Linked DNA regions of Tamandua tetradactyla. The protein of the gene in region 1 purifies or fractionates together with the protein of each later gene. This does not show direct contact. Links are inferred from orthologs where the notes say so. Each region holds a gene or a part of one and is shown in the gene's direction. Other genes may lie near its edges.

Region 1 (8,237 bases):
ATCAGCGATACTGTGGGAAACCCAGAAAAGCTTTGTCCAGGGTCTGCTGGGTTGCCTGCTCATGCCTCGGCCTCCTGGGCTCCTCTTTACTGCCTGGGGGTGGGGGGTGGGGCGGTTCATGCTGGCATGTTCCCCACTCCTGGATTTTATCCTAAAGAAACCATTTATTGTGAAATCCTGGAGACAACTTCAATGTCCAGGTGAGGAGTAACACATAGCCACGAAGAGAGGAGGGAAAGTGACCCTGGGTGGTGAGCTGGGAGGATGCTGGTGGTAAATGTGAGCTTGGAAGGCAGAAGGCAGAGCTACTGTGATCACAATTGGGTGGAAGTGATATCTGCAGATGGATAAGAAACAGTGTGGTCCACAGGGTATGCCTGGACGCTGGAGGCCCAAAGAATCAGTTAAGCTCCTGGTCTGTCATTTACTTGCTGTGTGACCTTGGGCAAATCACTGAGGCTCTCTGAGCCCATTTTCTTCTTCTGTAAATATCAGAATAGTTTACAACCATGTTTGGGGTTTCATGAGACAAGCAAAGGGCACACAGTAAGTGCTTCCTAATAACGTGGATAGATGGAAATAGAGTGGTATTGTGGGGAGAAGATGGAAGCAGTCACATTTATATTCCTTGAAAAAAAATGACCCTGTAAACCACTGTTGGCTACCCCAAATTAAACCACAGTAAAGCCGTTGAAAGTTTCCATCGGCTTTTTAGGCCTCTGATTTCAATCTGGCCTGGCCTAGGTGCTGTTTCTTTCTTAACTTGTCTGGACCTCTCTCCTTCCAGGGGGATTACACCCAAGTCCCGGGGCAGGGACAGGATTTGCAGACAACACCAGGTGCAGCCTGGCTTCCCATGGGGGAATCTGCATTCCTGGAATTCTTGCTGGGAGGCCCGCCCAGCCTGGCTCCAGTTGAGGCCGGGCTTCCACAGCCGCTGGATGTCCAGGGGCCCGGGCCAGCCTGGCGGTTCCCGTTGGTGGGTGGCTGAGCTCCCAGCACCCCCTGGAGGCAGAGGGGAGCCCATCCCAGGGAGGCGCCTGGGCCTGGGATGGGGTGCAGGGTGAGGGCAGATGGATTTAGTTGTCATGACTTTGCAGCAAGCTGAGGATAGATTTAAAACAAACAGGAAGAGAAAGCAAACATTCGATGCTTCATTCATTCGACTGGTCTTTATTAAGCACGTATTGGGCACCCTCTGCACCAGGGTGAACAGGCTGTCTCTGCTCTCGTGAGCCCTCCGGTAGCGGGGAAGTGGACAGGTGAGGGGGCCCTGGTGAACAAGGTGCAGAGGGAAGAGAGGGAGGGCTGAGCTTGGAGGTCCTTGAGGAGGGGACAGCCCACAAGTAGGACCAGTAAGAGAAGGAATCCAGTGGGGGACGATGCTCAACCATGCTGGTTTACCTGGGCTGAGGGGTTGTCTGTCAGGAATGGAGACTTTCCGTGATAAAACCAGGACAGTGCTGGGCAAACGAGGGTGCCAAGAAGGATATACGATGTAGGGGATGAGGCTGGGGGTGGGTGGGGTGTGCTCGATAGCTGCCAGGAAGGGCAAGGCAGCAGAAGGGTGCCACAATGACATGGGGTGTGGGGCTTTTTCTGTAACTGGGAAACTGAGGCCAAAGGAGAACAAGGATGGTGGCATAAGTAGGACTGGACATGGCTGGGTACCAGCGATTTCAGAGACCAATGTGACTCAGGACGAAGCTGTCCGCTGAAGGCCCTTGGGTCTTCCAGGTGACAGCAGGACACAAAGTGTGTCCTGATGGACCACTGGGGAAGATGTTGGGGAAGAAAGAGAAGAGCCCAAGGAAGGGGAGATGGTGGCATAAGTCTTCCAAACTGGCTGCCCTGGCCTGCTTTTCAGGAGAAAAGAATTTACACAAAACCCCACTGACCTGGGCTATAGGGGAACACTGGGGTCTCTGGATAACATCAGCAGCAACCTGGAATGGTAGCCCAAAGGTGTGGGCTACCCTGCCTGTGAAATCCAGTGAGTGCTTCCTGGAAACCCCGAATTCAGGGCATCCCCATGTGCATCGGCTTCCTTGACCCTCCCTCAATTGTCATTGGAATTTGCTAACCCCCGCCTCCCCCCCCCCCCCCAAGGCTCTGGGCTTGGCCATTAAAGGGTCAGTGCTCTCCTGCCACCTGCAGCCGTGTGCAGGGAGCCTCACAGCATTCCTAGGGCACGGCAAAGGAGCAGAGCTGTTCTAATGCCACCTCCCAGCAAAGCCAACCTCTAGTATGGCAGTCCACTTTTCCTTACGAAATACTTATTGCTAAGTTACAAAATAGAGCTTTTCAAGGGCTTCGGCCCTACAGAAATGTGACATTTTGCTTTTCAGATCAGCAGACTCCATAGGACCTTTCCTGTCTGCTCCAGTCCACATGCGTTACTTTCTTCTTTGAAGACCTATAACACCTACTTTTTATCCATCCATCTATCCACCCATCACCCACCCACTCATCCGTCCACCTACCCCATCCATACATGCACCCACCCTTCCATTCCCCTATTCATCCATTCACCCACTCATCCATTTATCCAACAACCTATCCACTACCCATCCATCCACTTATCCACTCAACCGTCCACCCACCTACTCACCTACTCATTCATCAGCCTATCCATCCATCCATCTTCCCATCAGCATCACTGAGTGTGTACTGTGCAATTGGGGGTTAGGAATGTAGGTTCTGCCTTCAGCCAGTTCTTTGGCTGTTGTGGGAACCTTCACAGGGGAGTCTTGGGCAGCCTCTCAATCTCTTGGGGCCTTAGTTTTCACAATGTGAAAGGAGGATAATGAAGGCACGCACAGTCAAGGGTTGTTTTGAAGGCACAAGAGAAAATATATGTAACAAACAATGTAGAATTGGGCATGCAGGTTCTCAAATGTATGCTAGATATCACTCCTCTTTCTCCTCCTGCTTCGTCCCCACCCAGCTCAGCCAGGCCAGGACACAATGAGCTTCAACTACAATGAAAAGGACTGTTTTCCATTGGGGAGGATCTGGGAGCGGTGGAAGTACCACTGGGTGGGGTGGGGGTGGGGGGATGAGAGGAAGCCCCTGAAGCACCAGTGGACACTGGCTGGTGGAAGGACTTATGTGAGATAGGACGGTGCCAGGCAGGCTTGTGGCCTTGCTGTGCTGATGGACAGCCTTGAGTGGGGGTGGGAAGCAACTTTTTAGAATATATATTTATAAAAATTGTTCATGGATACAGTTTCATTTACCGATTCATCTCCACTGGCCCAAGCGCAGTTAATGTTCTGAAAACAAAACAAAAACATAAACCCCAAAGGCTGAAGTGTTTTTTCTTGCTTTAGTTCTTTTCCTCTCTTCTGTTTCCACTTGTGGTTTTTCTGAGCCTGACAACTTTTGGAAAGGGATATAAAAGGATTTACAACATAGATAATAAAGCAGATGGTTGTATTGTTCAGCTGCTCTACCCACTGTGCTATTTGCTTTCAGGAATTTAGCTATGACTGGAGGCACGGATTACAAAACAATTGACAGTATGAACGGATTTTCTCATTTTCACTGGAAGGAGGCAAGACCCATTTATCTGGTAGTGGAAGTTGGGCGCACAAGTTAGCCGTTTGGGGTGAGTCCTGGACTGGAGGGGGAGGCAAGCGAGTTTGTCAAAGGAGTTTGGATTTTGACCTGAAGGCAATGGGAAACCATTTCTGGGTCTTAAACTAGGGAATGACAAATCAGAATTGGATTTTGACAAACTCCCCTTTCTGCTCTTCAGCGACTGCTGGGTGACCAAGGTGGGGATGGAGAGAAGTGAAAGGATAGAGGACTGTGTGAGGGTAAAGGGGAACCTGTGAAGAGCTGCCCTCCTTCACTCCTAAGCTAGCTGTGTTTACCTTTTGCTCCAGGGCACCTGGCCCCAAGGTGGTGAGGTTGGCTGGGCAAAGAGCTCCGTGGGGAGCCAGGCTGGGGCCAGCCAGGCAGGGACCTTGCCCACCCTGTGTCCCCTCTGGGAAGGGCTTCACATCAGCTGCCACTCTTCTGGCTCTGTATCCATGACAACCACACACCTCCTGTTCCCAGGGTGTTTCCCTTCCAATGCTGGGTCTCTTTACCAGTACACGTTCCCGTATCCTATCTGGGTGTCCATTTCCGATTTGGAAAATAAGGGACTACATTATTCTGCCTACAGGCCGGGTTGGGCCCACGAAGCTGTGGAGGCCACACACCCCTCCAAGATCCTTAGACCCGTGTGTGGGAGAAGCAGGCAGCTGGGCGAGAACGTGCAGGGGACAAAACCAAGCTCCGGCCCTACCCTGCCGTGGTCCACGGAGGTGACAATGCCTGCTGGAGGGAAAGCGCCTCGCAGCCTGCAGAGCAGCAGGCACGCAAGAATCCTCAGCATAGCTTCTCGCCTCCCAGGGGCTCCGGGGAACGGTCCCAGCAAGTCGCAGCCCTGGGCAGGGGCTCCGGGCAGGCAGGGCAGGCAGGGCTCGCGGCCTCACGGGCCAGGCCCGGGCCGGGCTCTCCCGAGACGGCTGTCAGGACCTTTCTGCAGCTCGGGCTTCTTTCTCCTCTTTAAGCCGGGAAGGTCTGACCACCTGCCCGCCCTCCCGCACTTTGCCCAGGGCTGCCCTCGAAGCGTTACCTGTGGCCCCCGCCGATAGGAGCGCTCGTGGAGAAGGCAGCTGCTTCTCCAGGCGGCTCCGACTCGGAGAAGAATCGTGGGGGCCACGCCGCCAACTCAGACCGCGGGAGGAGGGCTGGATCCTCCACGGGAGCCGGCTGCGGGGTGTGAGAGTTTGAGGGCACACTAGCTTATTCCTGTACGTTTATTGTGCTTCCATTTTCAAAAAGTGCAGGAAAAGAAGGGCCTACATCCGACAACGCGTGGGTCCACCGCGGGAAGCCTGCGCACACACTATCCCTTTAAGGCGTTAGGCTTGATCGAGGCATTCTGCCCCTTGCCGCTCGCCGTAGCGCTCCTCCGAGAGGCTGATTTTGTGGGTCTACCCCGCCCCCAGGACCCCGCCCCCTCCCTTCGCGCCTGCGCACTGTCGGGCGCACCCCTCCGTCGGCGTCTGGCGCCCGCCGGAGCTGCCGCCTAGCCGAGCTCGGCCCGTGCTTCAGACCAGGCGGCTGCCGACGAGGCGTCCCGAGCGCTCCGGCCCCGCCGCCGCCGCGGCCCGGCAGGTAAGCGGGCGGCCGTCTCCGCGCGGTGGGCGCGAAGCCTGGGGCGAAGCGGGCGCGATGCCGGTGTACTCCAAACCGTCCCCCGCCGCCGCACGTGTTCCCCGGCCCTCCCGGGACCCCGGGCCAGCGCGCCCCACGCCGCCCGAGGGGCCCCCAACTGCCTCCGCGGCGGGCCCCGTCCTCGCTGTGGAGAGCTCCTCGCGAGGGCCGCCGGCCTCTCACCGCCCTGCTCCCGTCCCAGGACCCGCTTCCCCCGGGCCGAACGCCGCAGCCCGGCCCGTGGAGCGCCCTCCCCCTCGCCTCTCTTCTCCCCGGTGTACCCCTTAGACCCCCCTGGGTTCCCGGATGCTCTCCTCGGCGACCCCTGACGGATCGTGGGCCCCACGGGCCCTTCCCGCCCTCCCCAGCCGTCCAGTGACGAGACGGAGCCCGAGGGTCGCGGCTTCTTTTTCCCCTGCAGCCAGCGGGCACTGCGTCTCAGGGCCCCCCTTTCCTCCAGTCCTGCGCCAGGGGAAGACCCCGGACGGGGCTGAGCGCTCTGCGGGCTTGCCCACGGTCCCTGATCCTGGCCGTCGGCCGTAAGGGCTGCGAGTCCTGGGGCGGGCTCCACCGGGTGGGCTTTCTGCCATCGGGGAGAAACCACCGGCCCTCCCGCGGTGGCGCCTCCGGCCCCGTGTTTCGTGGGTGAAAGACACGCATTAACAGCTTTCTTGTGTGAGTTTTGCCCACCCGGCACCATTTACCGGCCCTCTGCAGCGAGCGTTTTCCTGAAGCTTTGGCTCGGACAGGCGCTGGGCCAGACTCTGCACCCGAGGCTAGCCCGGCCCCATTGGGAAGGCGGGTGGAAGGGCCAAGTACTGAAGGGGGTGTTCAAGAGCCCAGAGGGCTGGGGGGCAGAGTCCCCTAACTCACTGCTGGATGGCCACCTGCGGGTCACCTGGAGGCCTCCTGCAAAGTGCAGGCGACCTCCTCTCCGTCTCGGAGGCCTCATTCCAGGGTGGAGCCTGGGAATCTGCCTTTAACGAGCAGCCCAGGTGCGCACGCTGCCTTAGGAGGTCAGGCTCACCTGGATGCGCTAGGAGGTCAGGCTCACCTGGATGCGCGCTTGCCTCTGCTCTGGAGGCCAAGTCCCGATCCCCTTCCCTTCACTCAGATGGTGCTCACCTTGTGTGTACCCCTCGTTTTCAAAGACCAAGTCCCTGTCCAGCTCCCCCCCCCCCAAATGGTTGTTTTTCAAAAGGTATTCCATGGGATTACCTGAGTGTTCACGGAAAGTGCAGAGCCCTGGATCCTAACTGTGAAGTAGAATCTTGGGGTATTGGATCAAGAAATCTGTGTTCTTCAAAGTCCAGCTTTCCAGTTGACCTTTTTGCACATTGATGTGTGAGAGACCCGAGAGCTGAACGCTTCTGCTGTAAGACTGCCTATTTCATTCCCTGGGCTTGCTCCTCCCCTCATGTTGGCAGAAGCCATGTCCCACCTCCAGGTGGGGCTGGCTTTATGTTAAAAGGAGCTGCTCTGCCACTCCCCCCCACTCCAGCTGCCCTTTTCACCTGTGTGGGCAGACCAAGCCCTCGCCCCTCTCACCTCAAGTCTCTGTTCTCACTGGTGTTTTGCTTGGGTGGGCTGGCTGGCAGGCATCTGCCATGCTCTCTTAGTTTTCTGCTGTAATCTCAGTTTCCTTATCAGACTTTCCAGCTTTGTTCCTAAGAGGAGGTTTCCTTAGTGCCACTCTTCGCTGCTTATCCATCCCACAGAGGAGAGGGCAGCAGTTGAGGTAAACTGGCAACCAGCCAGGTTGCACTAAGGATAATCAAGTACCTAGCATGTACTTAGCATCAATTTTGTGCCAGCGCTTTGCCTTTGGTGGGTTTTGTGAGACCTATCCTTCTCTCCCACTCAGACTCAGTCTTTGAGGGCTGTACTAGGACAGGAAATCTTTAATGCAGGTAAACAGAGCTTTGCTGCATGTGTATTCTGCCCAGTGGCTGTTACATTGTGATTTTTCTTCTATTCTGTTGGATGAAGACAGAGGCATGGGTTTTTCTGATAGTTCCCGTTTCACCTTAGTGTTACAGGGAGGTTGTGCAGGGCTTCGGACTTAAGCTTTAAGCTAGAATCTACGGTGTGTAAACTCATTAGGTTAGGTGTAGTGCTACCTTCTGGACTTTGGATGGCCAATGATGGTCGCAGAATGGCTTGGCAGCTCTTCTTTTTAATAGTGCTTTCCCTCATTTCAGAATCACCTGGTGTGCTTTTAGGAAATGTATCCAAAGAATGGAATCTATTCCAGTGATAGAAGAAACTGATCACGTACTGTACGGGTTGTAGATATTCCTGTTGTCAAGTGAAACCTAATTGAGTGGCAGTCTTTTTTCCTGTTTTCCTGCAGTTTGAGTCTTGCTTGCAGAGCATCAGTGCTGTACTTTTTCTACAGAAGGCAGTAGGTGGAACCTGTAGCAGACACAGCTGACTCTGGTTTGTTTTTTTGCTGCTGTGTTTTGTAGCTGTTTCACCAGGGAGAGAGAGCCTTTTAAGTTGTTAGCATTTTGGAAATCAGCGTTGCATCTACTACTAGTACCTTGCAATAACAAAGCCCACCCGTTAGACCTAGAACCCCTGGGCATGTGTTCTGTTTTCAAACGTGGTCATTAACAGTATCATATCACTTAGGATGCATTTTACAATTTGGATGAGCTCCCAGACTTCTGCACCTGAATCTTAGTCTCTTCTAATTTGGCATATTAGTTTTCTATCAAGAAACCTTTGGGCTCGTTGAAGTTTTCAAAATTGTGTTTTGTGTGAATTGTGCTATATTCCTATGGACCATGGGACACAAAATAGGAAGCACCCTTGAAGTGTAGGGTCCTTGAGAAAGTGTGAGAGCAGGGATATTTTGGCATAGTGTCTGAAAAGTGAGCATGAACTTAGGGTAATATATTCCAAGTTGGAACATTTTGTTGCTACAAGACTCAATATGGTAGTCAAATGGTTTTCTTTTTTATCTTTTTTCCCCTGGATATTAAGTTTTGAAACTGTGGCCTGTTTACTGGCCTAGGACC
Region 2 (7,341 bases), on another chromosome or scaffold:
GTTTCAAGACCATGAAAATGTCTAAATTAAGGCAAGGCTATAAGAATGTTCAAAGTAAGGCATCCAGGGAAAGATACTTTGGTTCAAGAAGGCTGATGATATTTGAGGTTTCTCTCTCAACTGGAAAGGCAGATGGCAATGTCTGCTAGTTTTCTCTCCAGGCTTTTCCGGGGGCATTTTCTTTCTTCATCTCCAAATGTCTCTGGCTGTGTGGGCTCTGTTGGTTCTATATCTCTAAAGCTTTTTCCAAAATGGTTCCTTCTTAAAGGGCTCCAGTAAGCAACCCCATTTTGAATCAGTGGAGACACATATCCATGGAAACCATCTAATCAAAAGTTATCAACCACAATTGGATGTGTCATACCTCCATGGAAACAATCAAAAAGACTCCACCCAGCCATAATGAATGAGGATTAAAAGATATGCTTTTCTGGGCTACACAACAGACTCAAACTGGCACAGTTGATGTGTCTGGAGTTTCTAGTGTATGGTTACAGGTGTTAAACATGCACTTGGAAAGATTTCCTTAAATACAGGAGTATTGATTAGACGCAGAAAGTTATTTACATGAAAGTGGGAAAGATGAATCAGAGATCAAATACAAAGTTACTGAAATTATTTAGAAGGAGATACTGAGGGCTTGAACAAAGACCTTGCTAAACATGAAGAAGAGGCAACTCAAAGACAGATTCAGGAGAAAGAACAGGATTTGGTAACTATTTAGACTGGGCTAGATGGATTAGCGTGGGAATGAGAGATCATGAGGAAGGTATTTCAGGCATTTGGATGTTTGGTTTTACCATTAACGGAAAAACGAATCCAAGAAGAAGAGATCTGACAGAAGATAATGGCTTTGTGTTTTGGTCACGTTGACTTTGGGATGACCACAAGTCATCCACCTTCAGACATGCAGTGAGCTAAGCATAAGAGAGAGGTATAGGCTGGAAATTATGACTCACAGTCAACAGCGAACAGTCACTGAGTGGGTTAGACAGCACCAAAAGAGTAAGCTCCAGTGGGAAAAGAGGGTCCGGGACTCTGGAGAGCAATATTTAAGGAAGGAAAAGAAAATGAGCAGTCAGAGACAGCAAGGGATGCCAGAGAAATAAATGGGGGGCAGCAGGTTATAGCCCCAATTTGCCAGACTTTAGCAAAGCTTCCCATTTAAAGACTCATCTGTAGAGTTCTAGTGATAGGTGGAATAGAATGAGGACCAGATCGAAAGAACGTTAAGTCTGGGATAACAAAGAGGAATAACTAAGATATGTACACATAGAGTGATTCAGAGACACTAACAAGTAGATTCTACCAAACGTAGTGTGCATGTAGAATTTTATTTAAATAAAGTGTGCAATAGGTGGATACTGTTTAGAAGATCATGGGCAAACCACTCATCAACAATGAACTATAGAATGATTTGAAAGATTTAATAGGCCTAAGTAATTTAGTAGATAACTTGTAGTTCAAAAATATATTTTCTATTAATAGGTCATTTTTAATGTTGTTAAATAAACGAACAGGTCACATAGCACTTTAAGTTTTCATTGTTTGGTGCTGTTTCAGATTTATGAGTTACATCTTACAGTACTACATAAAAATAGGCACTATGCTTCCAAGGAGAGCAGAATTCAGCCTGAAGCTGTACCATACTCCTCTACCTTTTCTAGTACTTTATAAATTGCAACACAGAACTTAACACAAAGAAATATGCATTTCTTTACGATAGTAACAAGTTTATATGAATAATTTTATAGCAACTAAAATTAAACTATCTGCTGCCGTTGGTAGTAGGGTTCAACTTTTACCATAAGCTAAAGCAATCGATTTCCAAACAGTCCTATTTCTAAATCATCCACTTATGTTTAACAGTTCATTTTATTGAATAATTCCAAAGCACTAAACATCTTCAGGATTGAAAACTTCAATTACAGCAAGAACTAAAATATATATATATATATAGTTTAAGGATAAGGATGATAATTAAATACTCATAAAAAGGTTTTGAGAGAGATGAGTTTGGATATGGTGAATGAAGTTTGGAGCTTATCAGTGGGTTTCAATAACTGATTAGATTTAATGACCTAAAGTTTGTTCTAGATGTGCAGGGACATAATTTTCATGGCCAGCTCTTAACACTAGATCCAACTCTTCTAATGCTGCTATCTTAGGGCAAAATCATTTACTTCTACTGTTCTAAAACTATTATATAATAAATAACAAAGCAAGTTCCTCAAGCAATCAAAACACATGTTCAGACTCTTCTCACAATGTCAAGGCTAGGCTTTTTGGATGAAAACAATAACAACAACAGTAGTAATCATAGTAATCCCTTGTATCCACATAGTTCCTCACTGTTTAAAAAGTTTCCATAGTAATTTTCTTTTCTGACCCTCTCAGTATTTATTCGTATTAGGAATCACTCTGCAAGTAATACTATGCCATTTTACAGATAAAGCAATTCAGCAATTCAAGTCACAAAGTCACACAGGCACTAGAGGTACAATTATGACAAGGTAGACATGGTCCCCCTCTACATAGAGCTCTATTCTAATGGGACATTCAGACAAGTTGTAGGCAACATGGATACTGCCAGGGAGCTGGAGGGGCTATAGGGTGCAAGAGGAGTATGTGAAGGGCACAGAGAAAAGACCAGAAGGAACTCAGGGAAGTCTTGAAGAAAGTAAAGTCTCATTTCTAGACCTTACTAGCTTGGCTCTGGGGAGTAACATTAACATCTATTAAATTAACCTATTCCGGTCTCAGAATCCACCAGTTGATTTTGGATTTGATGGAGCAAAACCTAGAAGCCAATATCATGTAATTAACTTTACCTCTAAACCAATGCTACACACACTGTGGTTTCTGTATTAATTGCATTAGTTACCTGGGGTGCTTGATAAAAATACAAGAAAGGGAGTGACTTTTTTAAATCACTTGGGGGTGGGGGTGGGAGGTGAGGCCCAGGAAAATTGCTGCTTTAAGTATGAACACCTTGGGAATTTAAAGTCTAAGCAAAATAAAAGTCAAGTTTTTCCTAGTGGCTCCAACTGGTCCCCACTTCAGTTAAGGCTTCCTTTTTGATGGGGGTGTGGAAGGGACTGTACGCTGTGGGGGAAATTGCCAATGATATCGTTAAGATAAGCGTTACACTGAAAGACTGGTCAATCTTCCCTCCTGTCCCCCCCCATTTGTATGTAATGCAACTCACTTAGAATAGGTGCTGGATAAGTGTGTGTTGATTCAATGAACACGGGGACACAGGTATTTATCACTTCCTGGAGTTCTGAAAGTCCCTTCTTTTACTCTCTGTTCCAATCTTCCAGTGACCAGCCAGCAGCAGAAGCAATCTAATTAGGCAGGGGCATCTAGAATTTGGAGAAAGACTGAGTTCAAATCTCCAGACGATCAGTTAGGACTTGAGAGGACCAAGTTCCTTAATCTGCTCACATCTAAGAAGAAGGACTTACCTCCAGCGTTGCTGGGAATCTTAAATGTGATAATAGGCATCTATTATTAATAGATGTAAATGAAATATATTATAAATGTAAACGCTTAGAACCATGACTCATTCATAAATGTCTCCTATAAATGCTTATTCAACCCCAGGCAGTGTAGTCTTCCCCTGAACGTTTGTAATAGTTCCCCCTGGGCAGTTCAATACTTCATTGAAATTGTCACCAAAAAACGGAAGGATAAATGAGAAGACCGAGACGAGCAGGTACTGGGGCGGTGGGGGGCGGGGATGGGAGCCAAAGCTCACGAAGGTGGTCGCTCCCTTCCGGCTCGCGGCACGTGGTCGAATCGCGCGGGAGCTTCGCGACTGAGGGGGAGGGGAGCGGCGCGGGACGACGCGGACCGGGTCTAGACCGCCAAGACTACGGTTGGGAAGGTATCGACTGCGCAGGCTCGGGACAGGCACAACCACTGTGCAAAGATCTGAGGGGGGGATTGTCACCAGGATCCTGCCTTTACCTATTTGCAGAGGGAAAATTTGCCTCTTTTTTCTAGTTTTGAGCCTGTACTTGGAGCCGCCTTCCGCAAGCTGTTCAATATCAGAAGGAGTTTTATCCTAAGTCTGAAGCGGCCTTTTCCTGTAGGCATGCCCCTTCCCCCCCCCGCGGTGGCCATCGTGGGCACGTCCCACCTCCCCAAGGCCTCCGTAGGTGGTTTGGTCGCCCCCTCCCCCTCCCCAGTGTCGCGAGTTGGTGCTGCAGCGGACCCCCGCTCCGCGCTCTCGGCCCCTTGGCGGGGCTGTACCGACCCCTCCCGGCATCCCCTCTTTCCTCCCTTCGGCCTGCCCTTCCCCACCGGACTGCCACCCCCGCCTTCAACCCAGCCCTTCTCTCTCCCTGCCGGCCCGCGGCGGCAGCAGCAGCAGCAGCAGCAGCCGGAGGAGGAGCCGGAGCCCGGAGGTGGCCGGGGAGCCCATGGCGTACAGTCAGGGAGGCGGCAAGAAGAAAGTCTGCTACTACTACGATGGTGAGAGGTCGGGCCGGCGGGAGGGTAGGCGGGCACGGATGAGGTCGTGGGTCGGTGGCCACCGTCGCGAGTGGGCGCTGGTGTTGGGGAGTGGGAAGGAGGAGGAACCGACGCTTGGCCGCATTTTAACCCTTTCCGGACCCGGCACCGTTGGCGAGAGCGGGTCGACGCCCCGCTTCCCTCTTGCCCCCTTTCTCTGGCTGTGCGGCCCGCCGCCCCGAGGGGCCAACCCCTGGGGCGGCGCGGCCTACCCCGGCTCGTCGATGGTGGCGAGGGGTCGGCTGTCCTCGTGGGACTGGGGGTTTGAGGTTGCCCTGCGCTGGCCTCTGCACCCGACCCCTTCCCCGGGGTCAGAATCTCACCCCGGCCCTGACTCCACACAAAGCCCCGCGGCCGCGGGAGCTCCACCCCCAGCCCCCTTCCCTCCCCCAGTCCCGCCGTCTCTTCCCTCCTTGTTCTCGGTCTCTGCCGACGTCTGGCCCGAGGGTCTCGTTTCTCCGTCTCCGGCCACTCCCGAGACCTGTCGACCCGGGTCGGGGCTTGAGAGTAGTTACTGAGGTTGTGGGCCCAAGTCCGGCCTGTGGCACTCTCCCACCCTTGTTCGGCGTGGACTCCTTCCCTCTTCTTTGTTAACGGGTTGTTTGGGCGCCACTTTCTAAGGATACGAATGAAAGAGCTGCACTTGCTCGATAAACATTAAGGTTTTCGAGTTCGAGGCAGTTAGTCTTCCCGAGAAATAAGAGGAGGTTGTAGAGAAATGTGAAGCTGTTGTTGCTTGTATGGTGCATCAGATTCGATGGGTCCTGACTTGCCTCTGAGGTGGTGGTTACCACCCACTTCTTCGTTGCTCTTTGTTCGGTCAGGAAATAGACCTTCCTTTGGAGGTATAGGAGAGCATTGCATCTTGCTTGTGAAGCCCGTTCCTAGGTGGGACTCCTGGTGCAGGAAAAGTTTGAGGAGCAGTGCGGAAGTACCAAATATCCTCATCAGGTGAACGAGCAACCTCACAGTACAGTGAATTGTAAAAGATAATTTCAGGGGTTCTTAAATTGAAGTTCGAACATTAAATTTGAATCCTATTTCCTGTGCTGGTCTAAATTATATTAAATGGAGTAGTTTCTAGTAGGTTGCTCTTGAGTGAAGGCATTGCAAAAATTAACATAGGAACTAGGAGTCTGTAACAGCTGTTTGTTCCTGGGCTCATCCATGATGAACCTTTGTTGAAGAAATGGGGCAGGCACTGGTCCCAGGGGCAGAATGCAGACTTGATAGGTAAAATGAGACTATTTGAGAGTCCTGTGGTATTTAGTGAATTAATCAATACTTTATTGTAGACCATTCAAACTTCTTTACCAGACAGCCAACAATCACGAATTTAACTTATATAATTTGGAATTCTGTTGGGTTACTTGTCTTTTGTCTGTGGTTCTTAGTTGACTCTTCATCTTTAGAATGGAATTATTTATTGCTTACATTTGAAATATTCATGGAGGGGTCACCTCCCTCTAGAGTTTATGTGTATGTGCCTAATACAATATTTTGTAGAGGTGTTTAAAAGTTGGATAAATACCATTATGTAACTGTGAAACTGTGAATATGTGATAGTATGCTGAGGTCTGCACCTTAATTCCAAAAACTTACATCTTCATTACCCCCCAAAATAACTCTTATAAGGGTAGCAAATAGCAGTTCTTTTTTTTTTTTTTTTTTTTTAATGTGGAGGAAGAGGATTAAATAAAAGTTTCTGTACCAAAGAATTATATGACTGGAGGTATACAGCATGTATTGGATTGGGGGTCAAGTAGTATCAGTACTAATAGGGCCTGAAGAAATCTCCAAGTCTAAATTTTCTGGTTCTAATTTGTTGGTAAAGGAAGTAGAAGGAAGGAAGAAAAATAAAGTGGGAAAGAGAGAACTAGCAAATTCTGTAACCATACATTTAGGCTTACTGGGGACATGGGGCAGGCTGTATGATGAAGCTCTTAGTGACAAAGAAATTACCTTTGCAGTTGTTTGCATCTCAGTGTGACTGATGCCTCTAAAATTATATGCATTTCTCACTATATTTGCGCTCTTCAGTAGAATGCTCTTTAGAATACTAGAATGCCAGTTCCAAGCGAATCATTAGGTATTGATGAAGTATCTTTAAACATTTGAAGAAAAGTAAGAGATCTTACTTCTTTTATTGTATCTATTGACACATACTTTCAAAGTTTCTGAAAACTATTTCTAAAGTCTTCGTTATTTTTCTTACATACTCTAAGATCAATAATCTTTAAAATGATATAGCTAATTACTCATTCCTCCCTAAAATTATGTGGTTTTTATAGTTAAAAATGTTGTTAGCAAATCAAGCTATGTTTGCTTTAATTACAATACACTTTTAATACTTCATCTAGAAATATTGACTATACTTGGTTTTGAATTAAGCTTGAGACCAAGCATATTTAACGTCTCTTCTATGATATATATATAATAGGGTTGCATATATACATAATTTATGTAATTTTACACATTGCTCTGCCCGATTTCCCCCACCAGCCTACTCCATCTGACAGGAGTGCATAATCAAAATGTTTGGAAAACAGTACCAAAGAAAAACACTGACCACTTTGCTCTTAGTTCCTTCGTATTTCACCTTATCAGAGAGGCTTTCTCCAGTTACCCTAGGTAAAACTCAATTAGCATTACTGCTTTATTTTTCTTCCTATAACATTTACCACCCGACTTGTTTCTCTCCCCATGTGTTTTTAAGTCTCTGTATCCCCACCATCTAAATCAGAAAGCTTAATTTTTTAATTTTGGTGAATAACTGATTAACACTTTATATTTTTACAGATTAAGCGCTTTCATATACCATTG
Region 3 (7,490 bases), about 61 Mb from region 1:
CCTGGGGATGAGCCGGGACCCGACATCAGGGGATTGAGAAAGCCTTCTTGACCAAAAGGAGGAAGGGAGAAACAAGACAAAATAAAGTTTCAGTGGCTGAGAGATTTCAAACAGAGTTGAGAGGTTATCCTGGATGTTATTCTTATGCAATATATAGATATCCCTTTTTAGTTTGTGGTGTATTGGAGTGGCAAGTGGGAAGTACCTGAAACTGTTGAACTGTATTCCAGTAGCCTTAATTCTTGAAGACAATTGTATAACGACGGGGCTTTTACAATATGACCATGTGATTGTGAAAACTTCGTGGCTGATGCTCCCTTTATCCAGGGTACGGATAGATGAGTGAAAAAATAAGGACAAATAAATAAATAAATAATGGTCATACGAGGTGTCATGGTCAGGTTCATGTCTCAACTTGGCCAAGTGGTGGTACCTGTTTGTCTGGTTGGGCAAGTGCTGGCCTGTCTGTTGTGATGAGGACATTTCATAGAATTAAATCATGATCATGTCAGCTACATCCACAGCTGATTCCATTTGTAATCAGCCAAAGGGGAGTGTCTTCTGCAATGAGTGATGCTTAATCTGATTACTGGAAGCCTTTTAAGGAGGATTCAGAAGAGACAGGTTCTTCCTGTTTCGGCTGGTGAGCCTCTCCTATGGAGTTCGTCCAGACCCTCCATCGGAATCGTTGGCTTCACAGCCTGCCCTGTGGATTTTGGACTCTGTGTTCCTGCAGTCACGTGAGACACTTTTATAAATTTTATATTTGCGAGTGTTCCCTATTGATTCTGTTTCTCTAGAGAACCCTAACTAATACATGGGGTAAAAAAAATTGGGTAGATTGCAATGCTAGTGGTTAATGAGAGGGAGGACTGTGCTGGTTTGAAAATATTATGTACCCCAGAAGAGGAATGTTTTAATCCTGATTCTGTCCTGTGGAGGCAGCTGTTTCTTTTAATACTGATTCAATACTGTAGGTTGAAAACTTTTTAGATGACCTCCACGGAGATGTGACATACCCAATTGCGGGCAGGTGTTGATTAGTTTACTGGAATCCTTTAAAAGAGAAAGCATTTTGGAGAGCGCTCAGAGCCAACAGTAACTTCAGAGCAGAGCTGACACAGATGACAACACTCGGAGAACAGAGACATGGATGTTTGGAGGTGCTTGGAACCCAGTAGGCATTGCCATGAGATGCTAAGCAAGCCAGAACCTGGAGAGAGCCAAGGGAAGCCAAGAGATGAAAGCCTGCCCCAGGGATGCAAAGTGAGGAACTCCGACAGGGATAGAGGCTGAAAGCAATGGAACCCAGGAGCAAGGGACCAGCAGATGACAGCAATGTGACTTCTCAGCTGACAGAGGTGTTCCAGACACATTGACCTTCCTTGAATTAAGGTATCTCTCCCTGGATGCCTTAGTTTGGAGATTTTTATAGGCTTAGAACTGTAAACTTGTAACTTATTAAATTCCCTTTATAAAGCCATTCCAGTTATGGAATATTGCAATTTCAGCAGTTTACAAACTAAAGCAAGGACTATGGGATGTACAGTTTTTTTCTTTTGTCTTTTATTTTTTTTTCTGGAGTGATGCAAATGTTCTTAAAATGATCATGGTGATGAATACACAACTATGTGATGAAAAAAAAAAGATCCTACTCACAAAAAGATCATACTTACAATGGGCCTCCTCACACAGGAATGGATTAGCTTTAAAAACAGAATTTTCTTCTCCTTCCATGATAGGGCAATAGCATTTTTCACAGCTAGTGATAGAAGAGTTATGCCTGCTTCAGATATGTATTGATTAACCTTCAGGATGTTTTTAAAAATTGAGTTAATTCACCTATTTAACAATTAGTTTTTGAACATCTGTGTACCAGGCACTGTTCTAGGCTCATAGGATATACAGTAGCTCAAACACACAAAAAAACTGCCCCTTATGGGGCTTACATTTTAGTAAAGGGAGGCAGATTATAGACAATAAAGACCATAAAGAAGTAAATTACATAGTGTGCTACAAGGTGATGTGTGCTAGGGGAAAATTAGGGCAGGGTAAGGAAGATTAGAAATACCATGTTTGTTGGGAGGCTTGAAATTTTAAAGAGGGTGGTCAGGGAAGTCCTCTTTGAGGAGGTGACATTTGAGCAAAGATTTGAAGGTGAGGGAGTGAGCCACGTGGTATGGGAGAGGAACCTTCCAGAGGGAATAGCCTGAAGTAGGAGCTTGCCTAGGATGTTCAGAGAAGGAAGATAATCCTATGAGGTCTGGGGCTTTTATGGCTTTTGCAGGGTTTCCTGCAGAGCCATGATGGGATCTCACATTTTGAAAGGATGACTTTTACTACTCTATTGAGAATGAACTGAGCTAGTTGCCAATTTGTCAAACTGGAGAGATTTTGTGTGGACCTGCAGATTTCTGAGTTCTCTTGAAAAATAGGAAGATGTGCCCACTTTGGACCTACCTGCCTCCATAGAGCTGAGCAGTAGCCTCCCCCTTTAAAAAGTAGGATGTGAGAGCTCCCTTTTACCAGAATCTCCTCCACTCCTTATTGCTCCCAGACAATAAAATGGTGTATTAGCAGCTGTTGTTCCTATAATAAAGAGGAAAATGAATTTTTTGTCTATATCATTTAAAAGTGAGAAAAGAAAAGATATCTGAAGATAGCAGTGTGTTTGAAGAAAGATGGGGGAAGGTATATTTCTTTATGAAAGTGAAGACTAGTTCAATTCTCAAAATATGCAAAGAGGAGCTGCTGAGTCAAAATAATAAAATCCATTCATTTACATCACCTGCATGACCTCTTTAGACATCTGAGTTTGTGTCTGTATTTTTATAAAGTGCCGCCAACTTCTGATCTCATTTGATCTCCATCCTTCTCCTGTGTTTGGACATAGTCAGTGAACTTTGTATTCTTATCCTCCCTATTTTATGAAGAGGGAAATGGAAGCCCAGAAAGGTTAAGGTATCCACTCAAGGCTAGCCAGGAACTAGCAACCTAGAACTTGCAATAGGATTTGTTCCTTGGCCTTTCCCATGTTTATAACACCATGGCCCAGTCTTAGATCTCCACTGTTACCTTTCAAATTAATAGCCCAAATGCAATCCCTAAGTGAGGAACACATGTCCTCGAGCATTCTTTAAATGTAAAGAGGCATAAAAATGCATCTTAATGACTATAGGACCACTAGTAAGTTAGCATAATGCTTGGCACATGGTAAGCACTCACTAAATATTAATATTTTCATAGTCGTTATTTTAATAACTCAGAACAGTGTTTTTCAGTCTCTTAGCTTGCAATAATAACTGATTGATGATGGATTAGTCTATTGCAGTGGTTCTCAAGAGGATAGTGGGGTGATTTTTAACATCAGCTTCCCCTAAGGAGACATTCAGCAATACAGGAGACATTTTTGGTTGCCACAGCTAGAGGCAGGGGGCAGGGAAGCTGCTCCTGGTATTTAGTGGTAGAGATTAGGAATGGAGCTAAGCATTCTAGAGTGCACAGGACTGGCCCCTACAACAAGGAAGTATCTAGCACAAAATGTCAATAACTCCTAGATTGAGAAACTCTGCTCTAGTGTAAGAACGTAATCCAGCTTCCTCCTGTCTAAAGACACTCCTTAGTCCTCCTGGCTGATTTAGGGAAGTAGGCTTTGGACTCACAATGACTGGCTTCTGCCACTTTGTTACAGTGCCTTTGACACATAGTAGGCGTTCAAAACACCTATACAGCTGAAAATTGAATTCACGTACTAATTGTGTGACTCTGAGCAATTCACAAATGTCTGACTTTCATTAATCCTAACTGTAAAATGGGGATTAAAAAGCCCTCTTCCGGAGTTTTTCTGGGGAGTAACTGAGTCAACGTCAGTAAAGCTATTGCACAGTACTTGGCCCATAGCGGGGGCCTCCACAAACATTAATTTTCTTTCCCTTACTTGTCTATTTCTTCCTCCTTCAATGCATTTTCTAATCTAGTCAGTCCCTTCATTAAACTGGGTGACCTTGTGCAAGTCACTTTTCCTCTGTAGGCCTCAGTTTATTATCTGTAAATTACAAAGTTGACTTCTCATCTCCAAGCATACTTTCAACAACAAAATAACACTGTGAAGTTACCGACCTGTCTTTCTCCCCCGGGACTAATGGTACAGTCCCCAGGCTCCCCACCCCCCTGTTGAGGACCTTGGTACAGGCCCAGGGGGCCCTCGGCTGCTACTCCGGGCTGCCCTTACCCCCTGCCGAGTTCCGGGCCCGTCCCCGTGCGAGCTGATTGGCTGGAGTGGTGCCCGGGCTGCGCCGCTATAGGTGAGGGGGACGGGCGGAGCGGGTTGGAGGCCCGCCCTCTCTCCCCTGGGACGGTCCCTGAGCAGAGCCGTGGGCGAGAGGGCGGACGGACTGACTGACGGGAGGGACAGGAGGCAAGCAAGATGGCGCAGACTCAGGGCACCAGGAGGAAAGTCTGTTACTACTACGACGGTGAGCACCGTCCTCACGGCGGGGGCGGAGCCTGGGCTGGGCCGGGTCGGGGAGAGGGAGACTGAGGTCGAGATCTGAGTGGAGAGGCTGAGAGAGGCTGAGGCTGGCGGAGGCGTTGGAGGGAGGAAAAGAGTCGAGGCTGAGAGGGGAGGCCGAGAAAGGGAGGTCGAGACTGAGGGAGGAGGCTGAGAGAAGAAAGGAGGTCAAAGCTGAGAGGAAAAGGCGGTCGAGGCTGAGACCGGGAGAGGGTGGTCTGGGGTCAAGGCTGAGATAATCTCAGGGGCAGGCTTCTGAAGAAGTCCGATGTGGAGAGTTTGAGTAGGGCTCCTGGAGGGGAGGCTGAGTCTGAGGGAGGAGGCAAAATCTGATAGAGAAGGTAATAAGGATAGATTTCCCTGCTGGGACTACACATGTCTTTGACTGTTTCTTTTCTTCCTCACCGATTTTGGTGAGAATCCGGAGGGAATCGCCGGCTAGAGGTTACCTAGTATTCTCCCTCCCTCCCATCTCTGAGCCTGGCCTGTGGTTGCTACTGGGAAATAGGGTCCCTCAGGTTGGAAGAAAGATGCAACCTGTTAAAACAGGCTTATCCATTTAACAACAGTCTACCGAGCAGCTTCCTCTGTACTAGGTAGCATGTAGGTGCTGGGATGATCTAAGTCACACTTCCCATTTTCAGCTCGCGGTGTAAAAGGGGGGATAGACATTGACAGAGAATTACTCCCAAGTTCAGTGTTGGGATAAAGGAGAGCTCAGAGTGTTATGGGAGCACAGGAAGAGTCACCCAACCCAGCCTGGGGAGTCAAGGAGGAAGGTATCACCTCAGTTACGACCTGAAGAACGAGAATTTATTAGCCAGGCACAGGGAAAGCTAAGGTAACAACAAGTTTAGAGGCAAGACAAGGACAGCACCTTTGAAAAACAGCGAATATGTGTACAGTATGGTTGAGGCATAGAATTGGGGGCAGAGTATAGAAGGTGAGAAGCAGGGATTGAAGGTAATGAGGCTAGAGAAGTAAATGGGGACTAGATAATGAAAATCTAGGTGTGCCCTTCCAAGGAAGTTGAACTTTATTCTGAAGGCACTGGTGAGCTATTGAAGTTTTAAGGACATTACTGTCATAATCAGGTTTATGCCTTACAGATATCACTCTGGGGCAGGAAATAAGTTCATGAATGTGTAGGGGTAAGAAAGAAGGTAAGGATTCTAAGTTTCTGGCTTGTGTAATTTGATAGTGGGTGTTTGGTGAAGGCTGTCTCAGTTGATAAATTTGTTTCATTTTTTTTTTTTAATGTAATACCTGTTGAGATGTCTGGTGGATAGCCACGTAGAGACACCCAGTAAGCCCTTTGTCCAGGTCTACAGTTTAGAAGACAGAGATGAGAAGGTAGAGATTTTTGGCAGCCATCCCATATACCTGGTGATTTTAGTCATAGAATGGATGTAGTCACAAGAAGTTATGTAGGATGAAAAGAAAAGAGGATCCAGAAGGGAATACTAAAAAGGAGCAACATTTAAAAAGTGGACTGAGGAACAAAAATAAAACACAAAAACAAAAGCCAAAAAAAGTGGACTGGGGGAAAGAAACCTAGTACCCCCCATCTCTGAATTCTCCTGACATTGCACTTGACACTGTGTACTGAAATTGTCGGTATACTTGTTATTATTTCTTGCAGACAGTAAGTTCCTTAAAGAAAGGAACTATGCCTTATCCACCTCTTTATCCTCAGTCCCCTGAACAGTGCCTAACTCACAGTAGACTCTGAATAAATGAATAATGACACAGAGGGAGTGGCCAGACAGGTTAGCAAACCAGAAGTCTTGGGTTACAAAAGCCCAAGGAGGGAGAGAGTGTTCAAATATTGGCAAGAACCGTTGCTGTGCTGTACACTGGGAAGTGAATAAGTGGGTGAAGAGGAAACATCAGATTAAACCCTTTTTGAGGGAAGCTTGTCTGGAGCAGGGAGAGAAGAATGTTGATAGAAGTGGTCATGTAGTGGCTGAGAGTTGCACATGTTCAAATTCTAATGGAAAAGAGCTGGAGAGAGAGAAAGGTTGAGGGTACAGGAGAGAATGGGGCTAATGGTGATGGAAGTTCTTGAGGAGACCAGGTGAGATGGAAACCAGAGCACAAGGAGGGGCACTATCCTTCAAGAGGAATTTCCTTTGTGACAGAAGGATAAGTGGCAAGAAAAAGTTCAAATATAGGTGAGTTTGAAGGGGAGAAGATAAGGAAGGTTGAGGGAATTCTCTGGATGAAGTAAGTGAATATTTATTTTCCTGAGAGCGAGGGAGGGCAAATGATAGAGTAGGAATCTTGAAGAGAGAGAAGATCTGAAGTAGCTGTTGTGAAAGAGAGTAGAGGAATTGTAAGAATTGTTGGGCAGTGGTGAGGCCCATTAGAAGCTAGAGCCTATGACTTGATAGCTACCTCAGTTTGCATGGTTTTGTGATCACCACACTCTTGATTTAAAAGAAGAGAAAGTGGAAAGAGCTGAGTCTTTGGAGAAGAAAGCAAACTCGTTACTTCTTAAGAAACTGCTTGTGAATTTTGCAGTGAGGTCATTAGATTGTGAATCAGATTTGGATCTGCCACTGAGAAGCTTTGCAGTATTGGGCAGGTCAGTTTACCTTTCTGGGCCTCAGGTCACTCCCCTTTAATGCAGAAATAAAAGCAGTTCCTGTTATAAGAATAGTGATGGACCATTCCTTTAAAATTTAAAGTAATATCTAAATAAAAAGTATTATTTCCCCTATTCTTTTCCATAAAGTCTCTCAGCAACCTATTTAAAAGCTGTTAGGGGCAGTGTAGGACAGTGGCTCAGCAGGCAGAGTTCTCACCTGCCATGTTGGAGACCGGGGTTCGATTCCGGGTACCTACCCATGCAAAAAAAAGAGTTGACTCCCAAATCACTTGTTAGCTATGTGATTTGGGGCAGGCACGTACTTCCTTTGAATCTTAGTTCAATTCACTGAATCTTTGTGAGCCTCTGTGATGTACAGGGCATATTTGT

The links.
Region 2: the proteins of WDR5 (region 1) and HDAC2 purify together in Homo sapiens (affinity purification with mass spectrometry; 7 studies listed by BioGRID and IntAct, with this or other methods). This does not show direct contact. The link is inferred for Tamandua tetradactyla from reciprocal best matches to the Homo sapiens genes WDR5 and HDAC2.
Region 3: the proteins of WDR5 (region 1) and HDAC1 purify together in Homo sapiens (affinity purification with mass spectrometry; 8 studies listed by BioGRID and IntAct, counting the BioPlex papers as one, with this or other methods). This does not show direct contact. The link is inferred for Tamandua tetradactyla from reciprocal best matches to the Homo sapiens genes WDR5 and HDAC1.

Annotation. Positions count from the first base shown.
Region 1 is NC_135328.1:132,474,825-132,483,061, reverse strand, and holds the start of WDR5 (WD repeat-containing protein 5), read left to right. Parts: upstream 1-5,050; 5' UTR 5,051-5,175; intron 5,176-5,733; exon of another isoform or gene 5,734-5,889; intron 5,890-8,237.
Region 2 is NC_135331.1:172,998,270-173,005,610, reverse strand, and holds the start of HDAC2 (histone deacetylase 2), read left to right. Parts: upstream 1-4,175; 5' UTR 4,176-4,427; coding exon 4,428-4,479; intron 4,480-7,341. UniProt on the Homo sapiens protein: Histone deacetylase that catalyzes the deacetylation of lysine residues on the N-terminal part of the core histones (H2A, H2B, H3 and H4).
Region 3 is NC_135328.1:193,616,751-193,624,240, reverse strand, and holds the start of HDAC1 (histone deacetylase 1), read left to right. Parts: upstream 1-4,324; 5' UTR 4,325-4,426; coding exon 4,427-4,475; intron 4,476-7,490. UniProt on the Homo sapiens protein: Histone deacetylase that catalyzes the deacetylation of lysine residues on the N-terminal part of the core histones (H2A, H2B, H3 and H4).